Drosophila melanogaster: one gene and its partner. The protein of the gene in region 2 interacts with the protein of the main gene of each other region in a pairwise test. Each region holds a gene or a part of one and is shown on either strand. Other genes may lie near its edges. The genes, in order: dnk and Urm1.

Region 1 (4,408 bases), on a different chromosome or scaffold from region 2:
GGAATGCCCTATATGCCTCCACTGATGAACCCCATGATGGGCATGCGTCCGCCACCGATTATGAATCCCATGGCCATGATGGGACCACCGCCTCCACTGGGCACTATACCCGGCGTCCGTCCAGGAATCATGAACGGACCCAAGTGAACGCCCTCAGGAACGGCATCAACGTTCACAGCACAGATGGAGTGCTCTCCTTGCGATGTCCTAATTAAGCTGTAGCATTTAAGTAAGCCCGATAGCGAAAACAATTAATTATATACATTTATATAAAGCAAGTTGACTCAACAAATGGTTGTCTTTGTGGGTGGAAGTCAATAGAGAAATAAAGTATATATATTTAGGTCAGTAATGAGAAGCGCATGCAGTCACATTAGAGTTCAGCAGGCATAAGATCACGCCGCTTTTACGGTGCACACATTATTATGACTTTAAAAAACCCCGCTTCAGAAAAAGATAACAAAAATCAATGCTAGAGAAGGCATTTAATGATTTCATTGTCCAACACAATATAGTTAAAATGCAAGTGAACTGAAATGCTAACACAAAAATAGTAGGTGCCTTGCCTTTAACATAAACATTCACAGTTTTTATTACAATATTTTGAGCTTACATACTAGTTGCTGTGAAGAGAATATAATGTGGATTATAATTGTTAATATACGAATGTGTTAATCATTGGCTCGAAGTGTAAGTTTCTGCCTTTGTCCCGCGAATCGGCTCGTCTAGGCCTCTTATAATATTATTTTAAACGTCTGTACTACACACAATTAGGTACTAATGGGATAATGGTTATCTGGCGACCCTCTGGCGCTTGCTGGGCGACACCAGAACCGGCGAGGGCTGTTGGTTACTTGAGATGGCGTCGAATATGCTGCTCTCCGAGCGCTGGTACTCGGTGCCAATGTTTTCCAGGTTCAGATCGGCATCGAGGACTAGGACCTGAGGAAAAATGCATATTTAGCGGCTTCGGTAGATGTGAGCTTGTGTAGAAACTACCTTGCACGACTGCGGTCGTCTCTGGTGTATCAACCAGTCCTCGTGCAACTCATGCAGCTCCTGAAGGTACTTAAGCGGCACGCAGCTCTCCTCAGAACGAGCCCGCTGCCGGATGCGTTCGTACGCCACCTCCGGCGAGGTGCGCAGATATATGATGAGGTCCGCCTGCACGTGAATGGACTCTTCGATGAACTTGTACCACTCCTCCAGCGTATTGTACATGCCCTGCTCCAGCGAGCCGTTTCGTCGCATGTTCTCCACGAAGCAATAGCTGCGGCGCGATGGGTAATGGATAAGTTTCGTTTAGCGTTTCTGGTCAAACCGGACGACGGGAATAATGCACTCACCGAGCGCTAAAAATGGAGCGCTCCATTATTTTTAGCTTCTTGTTGGTTGGGGCGGTGTGCGACTGCAGCATGGTCAGCGTGACATAACTCTGAAAGGGCATGGCCCACTTCTTGGGATCTTTGTACATCAGCTCCAGCAGATTTACCCCGTTGACGTTGCGCCACTTCTCGACGGGCTCGGTCAGCAGGCAAATGTCGTTCTTGTACTTCTCGAAGTGGTTCAAATACGTGGTCTTCCCGCTGCCGATGTTGCCCTCGATGAGGACGGTGAAGGGCTGGGTGCCCTCGGCGTACTTGGTCCCCTTTCGGGCACAGGATGCTGCCTCCGCCATCAGTCCGGATAATCGGCGATCTGCACGTGAGATTGGGAGTTTTACTAACTGTTTTAGGTACAGCACAGCAGCAACGGATCGCGGTTGAAGTTGATTGTTCCGGATTCGATGGAGTACTGTACACGGCGGCGGGAATATGGTGACTGATTCAACCCGCCTGGTCAGATCGTTTACCGCCGAAAAACAAAAAGAGCGGGAACATCGCCATTTGTTTCTTTTTTTTTTAATCGGTGTTACCTATCGTTATGCTTGTTTTTGTCAACCGGCTGATCGGTAACTGTGTGTGTGTGTGTGTGTGTGTCTATTCTATTGCCGGTAATGTTTTTACATACATCTTTACAAAAACTTAAAGTTTAAGCCAATGCTGGTTGAATTACCTATTAATGATATAATGTTTTTCTGCCACATGTGCTTGCTGGACATTGCTGTTTTTACAAATTTATTAAATACAAATACCACTGATAGCAATAAAATTAAACATTTATTGCTCACAACTTTTATGGCCTCTTATTTATTTTATTTAACGTTGTGAAATGAATTTTCTTTTTGCCTATACTGAGAATCAGCTGTCGGCGATAACGATAACGGTCAGCTGTTCTGTGCATAGTATCTGTTTTTCGCCATCCCTACGACGACGCATTTTTTATCAATATTATTGTACATTTTTATAAACCTGTATTAAAACTTATTTTTAAAAGGAATCTTAAACCGGGAAATTAGTTTACGATGTCCATAGAAATCGAATCAGCGGAGTAAGTACTGTAAATCGACCAACACCACTCAGTTTTTACTAGATCCGTGATTTCCCCCCCAAACAAAGTGTGATTCGGCTCATCCAGCAGTATCTGAAGGAGTCCAACCTTATGAAGACCCTGCAAACGTTACAGGTTAGTACTTACACACCGCGGAGAGAGTTTGTCTTTCAATGATCTTAAACTTTCAGGAGGAAACGGGTGTCTCCCTGAATACGGTGGACAGCGTGGATGGCTTTGTGCAGGATATCTCCAACGGGCACTGGGACACCGTGCTAAAAGTGACCCAGTCTCTCAAATTACCGGATAAGAAGCTGCTCAATCTATACGAGCAAATAGTCTTGGAGCTGATCGAGCTCAGAGAACTGGGCGCAGCAAGATCTCTGCTCCGCCAGACGGATCCCATGACCATGTTGAAGCAGCAGGAGCCCGAACGATACATCCATTTGGGTAAAATATAAGCCATTCTAAGGTTTCACTAGAGTTCGTGATTCCTAATTGGTATATTTGTCTGTAGAAAACATGCTGCAGCGCGCTTACTTCGATCCCAGGGAAGCCTATGCAGAGGGAAGTAGCAAGGAAAAGCGGCGCACGGTCATTGCCCAAGAGCTAAGTGGCGAGGTGCATGTGGTGCCCTCCTCCAGGCTCTTGGCACTCCTGGGACAGGCTCTTAAATGGCAACAGCACCAGGGACTCCTTCCGCCCGGCACCACCATTGATTTGTTCCGCGGCAAGGCGGCGATGAAGGACCAGGAAGAAGAAATGTATCCCACCCAGCTGTTCCGACAAATCAAATTTGGCCAAAAGTCGCACGTTGAGTGCGCTCAGTTCTCGCCGGATGGTCAGTATCTGATAACGGGCAGTGTGGACGGTTTCCTTGAGGTGTGGAACTTTACCACCGGCAAGGTGAGAAAGGATCTGAAGTACCAGGCGCAGGACCAGTTCATGATGATGGAACAGGCGGTGCTGGCGTTGAACTTCTCACGAGATTCCGAGATGGTGGCATCGGGCGCACAGGATGGCCAAATCAAGGTGTGGCGCATCATCACCGGTCAGTGTTTGCGTAAATTCGAGAAAGCCCACACCAAGGGAATAACCTGTCTGCAGTTCTCGCGAGATAACAGCCAGGTACTCAGCGCATCCTTCGACTACACGGTGAGACTGCACGGGCTGAAGTCGGGAAAGATGCTGAAGGAGTTCAAGGGGCATTCCTCCTTTGTGAACGAAGCCACCTTTACGCCTGACGGACACAGCGTGCTCAGCGCATCTTCCGACGGCACAGTAAAGGTTTGGTCCCTTAAAACGACCGAGTGCGTGGCCACGTACAAGCCCCTTGGCAACGAGTTGGCCGTAAACACAGTCCTCATTCTGCCCAAGAATCCCGAACACTTCATTGTCTGCAACAGATCCAATACGGTTGTCATTATGAACATGCAGGGCCAGATTGTGCGATCCTTCTCGTCGGGTAAGCGCGAGGGCGGTGCCTTTATCTCAGCCACTCTTTCGCCGCGAGGAGAGTTCATATACTGCGCTGGAGAGGATCAGGTGCTTTACTGTTTCTCCGTCTCCTCCGGTAAACTTGAACGTACTTTGAACGTAAGCTGCTCTTTAAACTATTTGTTTTCAAACTGACTTTAAACGTGATATTTATTCCATAGGTTCATGAAAAGGACGTCATTGGCCTGACACATCATCCGCATCAAAATCTACTGGCCAGCTACAGTGAGGACGGCCTGCTGAAGCTTTGGAAGCCTTAGACCATATAAGCAATTGACTTTCACACCTAGTTAGTTTTAGTTGGTGGTCTTATTTGAGCTGCCGAAATATACCTACTGACCCCAAAGCGCTTGCAGTTTTTTTCTCATGCCCTCAGCCATTCCTCACATCAATATCTTCAATCTTGCCTATATGAAACAAATTGACTTTAATTAAGCATTATGCAAAGCGCCAATCTCTCAGAGCGCTAATCCACAGAGTT
Region 2 (3,097 bases):
AAGCAAGTTTCATACATATCTAGTTCTTAGTCCACACAATCGAACGATCCGCACCACACACACACAGAAATCGATGGGAGCCATGAGCAGCACCCGAAAAAGGGGCGTGGCCGATGCCCAACATATCTGAATCGAACTTCATTACGTACAGTTAGTTGATATGTAACCTAAGTGCCTATAGTTAAAATAATCGTAAACGAACATTAAAAAAATATATCTATACTTCATAATAACTCGATAAATAATTTTAAGCGAAAATTTAAATTCAATAAATGTTGCTTCAATGTAAAACTAACGTGTTGTCCTTACTTCGAATTACCCGCCAAACCGCATCTGGATTGTTCTATTTTTAACTTCCCTACAATTCCCAAGTGCTTGTTCAATGCTGTGCTTTTATAAATAGCGAAAACCTGCTAGCTTACAATCTCTAGATGATATGATGAAAACTTTACTACCCGAACCATCGTGTGGGCCTTTGCCTCTGGTAAAGGGACGTAATTCTGATTCAGTCAAAAACTGTTTTTGTTTGTTTTTTGAATACAATTTAATGGGTTGTAGTATAAAAATAAACTTTTCTCCTATAATTTAGATTCCAGAACGTTTTTTAACCACCGTGTAAAGTTGATATAAACAACACATTGTCGTTGGGCTGCAGCTCGTAGTCCAGTTCACCCTAGAAGTTGAGTTAATTATAGTTTTTAGAATTCCATATTCTGTACTCTTACTTACCAGCAATTCCCAGTCTGTATCATTTATGAGTACTAAAATTCCAGGTCGCCTGAAAACATACAATAGAAAGTATAGACTATGTATCCCTTATAGTTTAAGCCAAACTTACACAGTATCTCCTTGAAGAAAAAGTTCCGGACGCTCCGTTAAAATATTCGCATGCATCCACTTAAGCAGATTAGCAATAGTCCCTTTAAAATATATATAATTCATAACCGATTTCACTCAAGTTTAAAACATCTTTTAGAACATACATTTTTGTTTACCGTCCAAGTTCAATTCACGGCGTTTTATGTTACCAAATAGTAACTCCGCCCCTGCACTACGAAATTAAATTACAAATTGTCTCATTTATTGGAAATAATAATTCGAACAAGGCTTTATATACCTGAATTCTAATATGATTTTTAATTCCGGCGTGCCCATCATATGTTCGATGTAAATAAATGTGTGACCGCGTCTAAGCTTTTCAAAAAAATCCACCATTCAAAAATAATACCAAATATAGAATCCTAATTTCTAAAAAGTCTGGCAACCACATGCTCTAAACTTCCAAAAATTATTGCATTTTGAAAGAAATTATAATTTGTACGTAAATTTACCTTTACCATTCACCTTCGACGAGGGGACTCAGCATTATAATTATTCCCATTGAGAAACATAAACAGGTGGCATTCCAATGGAACGCTAGGTAAAGTTTTCATTAGCATATTATGATCTGTGCTCTAAGAAGACATTTTACATTTCGTTGTGAATTTATGAAATTAAAAAAAACACGTTATCATAAAGAGCGTTTTTTTTATTGCTTCTCCTCGCTCGTTTTCGACTTTTCAGGATTCGGAGTCAGATCCAGTTTGAAATCGATCGGTTTGTCGTAACCCATTATCTTAACATAGTGCTCGGGATCATCGAAAAGCGCTGGATCCACAAACAGAGGTCGTTTGTTGACCAGAAAAGAGGTGAACATGCCGGGAACCTCCGGAACGACCACATCATTTGGTCGGAAAGTAGTCTAAAAGGTAAATAATATGTACATTGAAGGCAAGCTCTTTTAAATTTGCTCTACCCACCTTGATTTTTTGCAGAAGCAGGGATATTGTGGTGGCCGTGTACTCCTCCGTTAGTGGATTGTAGTGCAGCTCCGTCACGTATTTCTTGGTAATAAAGTGCAGCAGCAGAGGAGTCACAAAGGTGAAGAATCCACCGACGGTGCAGAGGAATACGGCCATTCCAGTTCCTCCGATTTTCATTCCCTGCTCGAGAAGAATGGGCTGGGCGGCCAAGCCGGCTAAGCTGGTGCTCAGCGAAAAGAACTTGACCATTTTCATGCGTGGCGCAAGAGTTCCATAGTAGATCCGCTGCAGTGCATCGTCGGATTCAGTTTTCGTCGACTTCACCGAAAGCCACCTGTTTTGCTGGAAGTTCTGTGGTTGTGACTGCTGTGGTCTTGTCCATGAGGCACTAGTAATGCATCTGCAGTTGTGGGGCAGGGTAATCTGACGGCTGACATTTCCCAGGACAACAGCAAAGTGTTTCCCTTTTGGCAGCATCGCTCGCAGGCCTAACATGGTGTAATTTACTTATTTCAGTAGAAATAAACAGCTGTTTTTGCCGAACGTTAAATAACACGAGTTGCAGTGTGGCCCACACTTGGGCGCTAAAAGAATCCAGAAACGATACGTCTATTCAAAATATACCAACTCTCCTTTTGAATACCGAAACAGGAAACGGCAACATTGCACTGACAACGGAAATTTAAATCGATACTGACTATTTTTACTTATTGATACTAAAAACAAATATTAAAAATTTAAAATCCTAAAATTCTAACATTTCTAAGCTAAAATTAATTTACATTAAACCGACCAATATTACAATCTTATAAGATAAGATTCTCTTTAAAAAATACAAAAATAAAAATTAATAATAATTACACTTGTACTTACCAATTAGGAGCTGATTATTTAACACTTATACATCGATTAAAATTCACTTACACTCACGCTTAAAACGGTAGGAAAGGCGTTTGCAAATATTATTCAAAGTGTTGACCTACTTTAGGATATTGCTGCCAAAAAATTCGATTGTATTTCCCAATGATTTTCCAACCAATTCGGAACAATAGAGCTAGTAATTCGGCAAATATTGAGTACGTACTGCAGTTTGTAATTGATTAACAAGAAAAGTGAGTGGGGGAGCTTCCCGTTTGCGGTATTATGCCAAAACCAAAAACACACAAGGAAGAGTGGCATGTGGATACGAATTAATATGCTCGAATTAATGGCACTGATGTGGGGGCGTGGCAGATGTGGCTCTAGTTACCACTAGAACATGCAATTTGTCGCTGTTGGTGGTGACCGGCGCTTGA

What was found.
Region 1: the proteins of Urm1 (region 2) and dnk interact in a two-hybrid assay, tested with the Drosophila melanogaster proteins (one large-scale study listed by BioGRID).

Annotation. Positions count from the first base shown.
Region 1 is NT_033777.3:18,978,842-18,983,249, reverse strand, and holds dnk (deoxyribonucleoside kinase), read right to left. Parts: upstream 2,256-4,408; 5' UTR 2,056-2,255; intron 1,994-2,055; exon of another isoform or gene 1,926-1,993; intron 1,827-1,925; exon of another isoform or gene 1,699-1,826; 5' UTR 1,679-1,698; coding exon 1,347-1,678; intron 1,271-1,346; coding exon 1,000-1,270; intron 943-999; coding exon 793-942; 3' UTR 501-792; downstream 1-500. Other genes in the region: snRNP-U1-C (small ribonucleoprotein particle U1 subunit C), read left to right, coding at 1-147; Smu1 spliceosomal factor, read left to right, coding at 2,405-2,430, 2,499-2,565, 2,622-2,880, 2,948-4,026, 4,089-4,187. UniProt on the Drosophila melanogaster protein: Deoxyribonucleoside kinase that has a broad specificity phosphorylating thymidine, 2'-deoxyriboadenosine, 2'-deoxyribocytidine and 2'-deoxyriboguanosine. Specificity is higher for pyrimidine nucleosides.
Region 2 is NT_037436.4:7,639,287-7,642,383, forward strand, and holds Urm1 (Ubiquitin-related modifier 1), read right to left. Parts: upstream 1,161-3,097; 5' UTR 1,156-1,160; coding exon 1,118-1,155; intron 1,052-1,117; coding exon 984-1,051; intron 921-983; coding exon 839-920; intron 779-838; coding exon 730-778; intron 674-729; coding exon 605-673; 3' UTR 525-604; downstream 1-524. Other genes in the region: CG7506 (uncharacterized protein), read right to left, coding at 1,529-1,741, 1,800-2,297.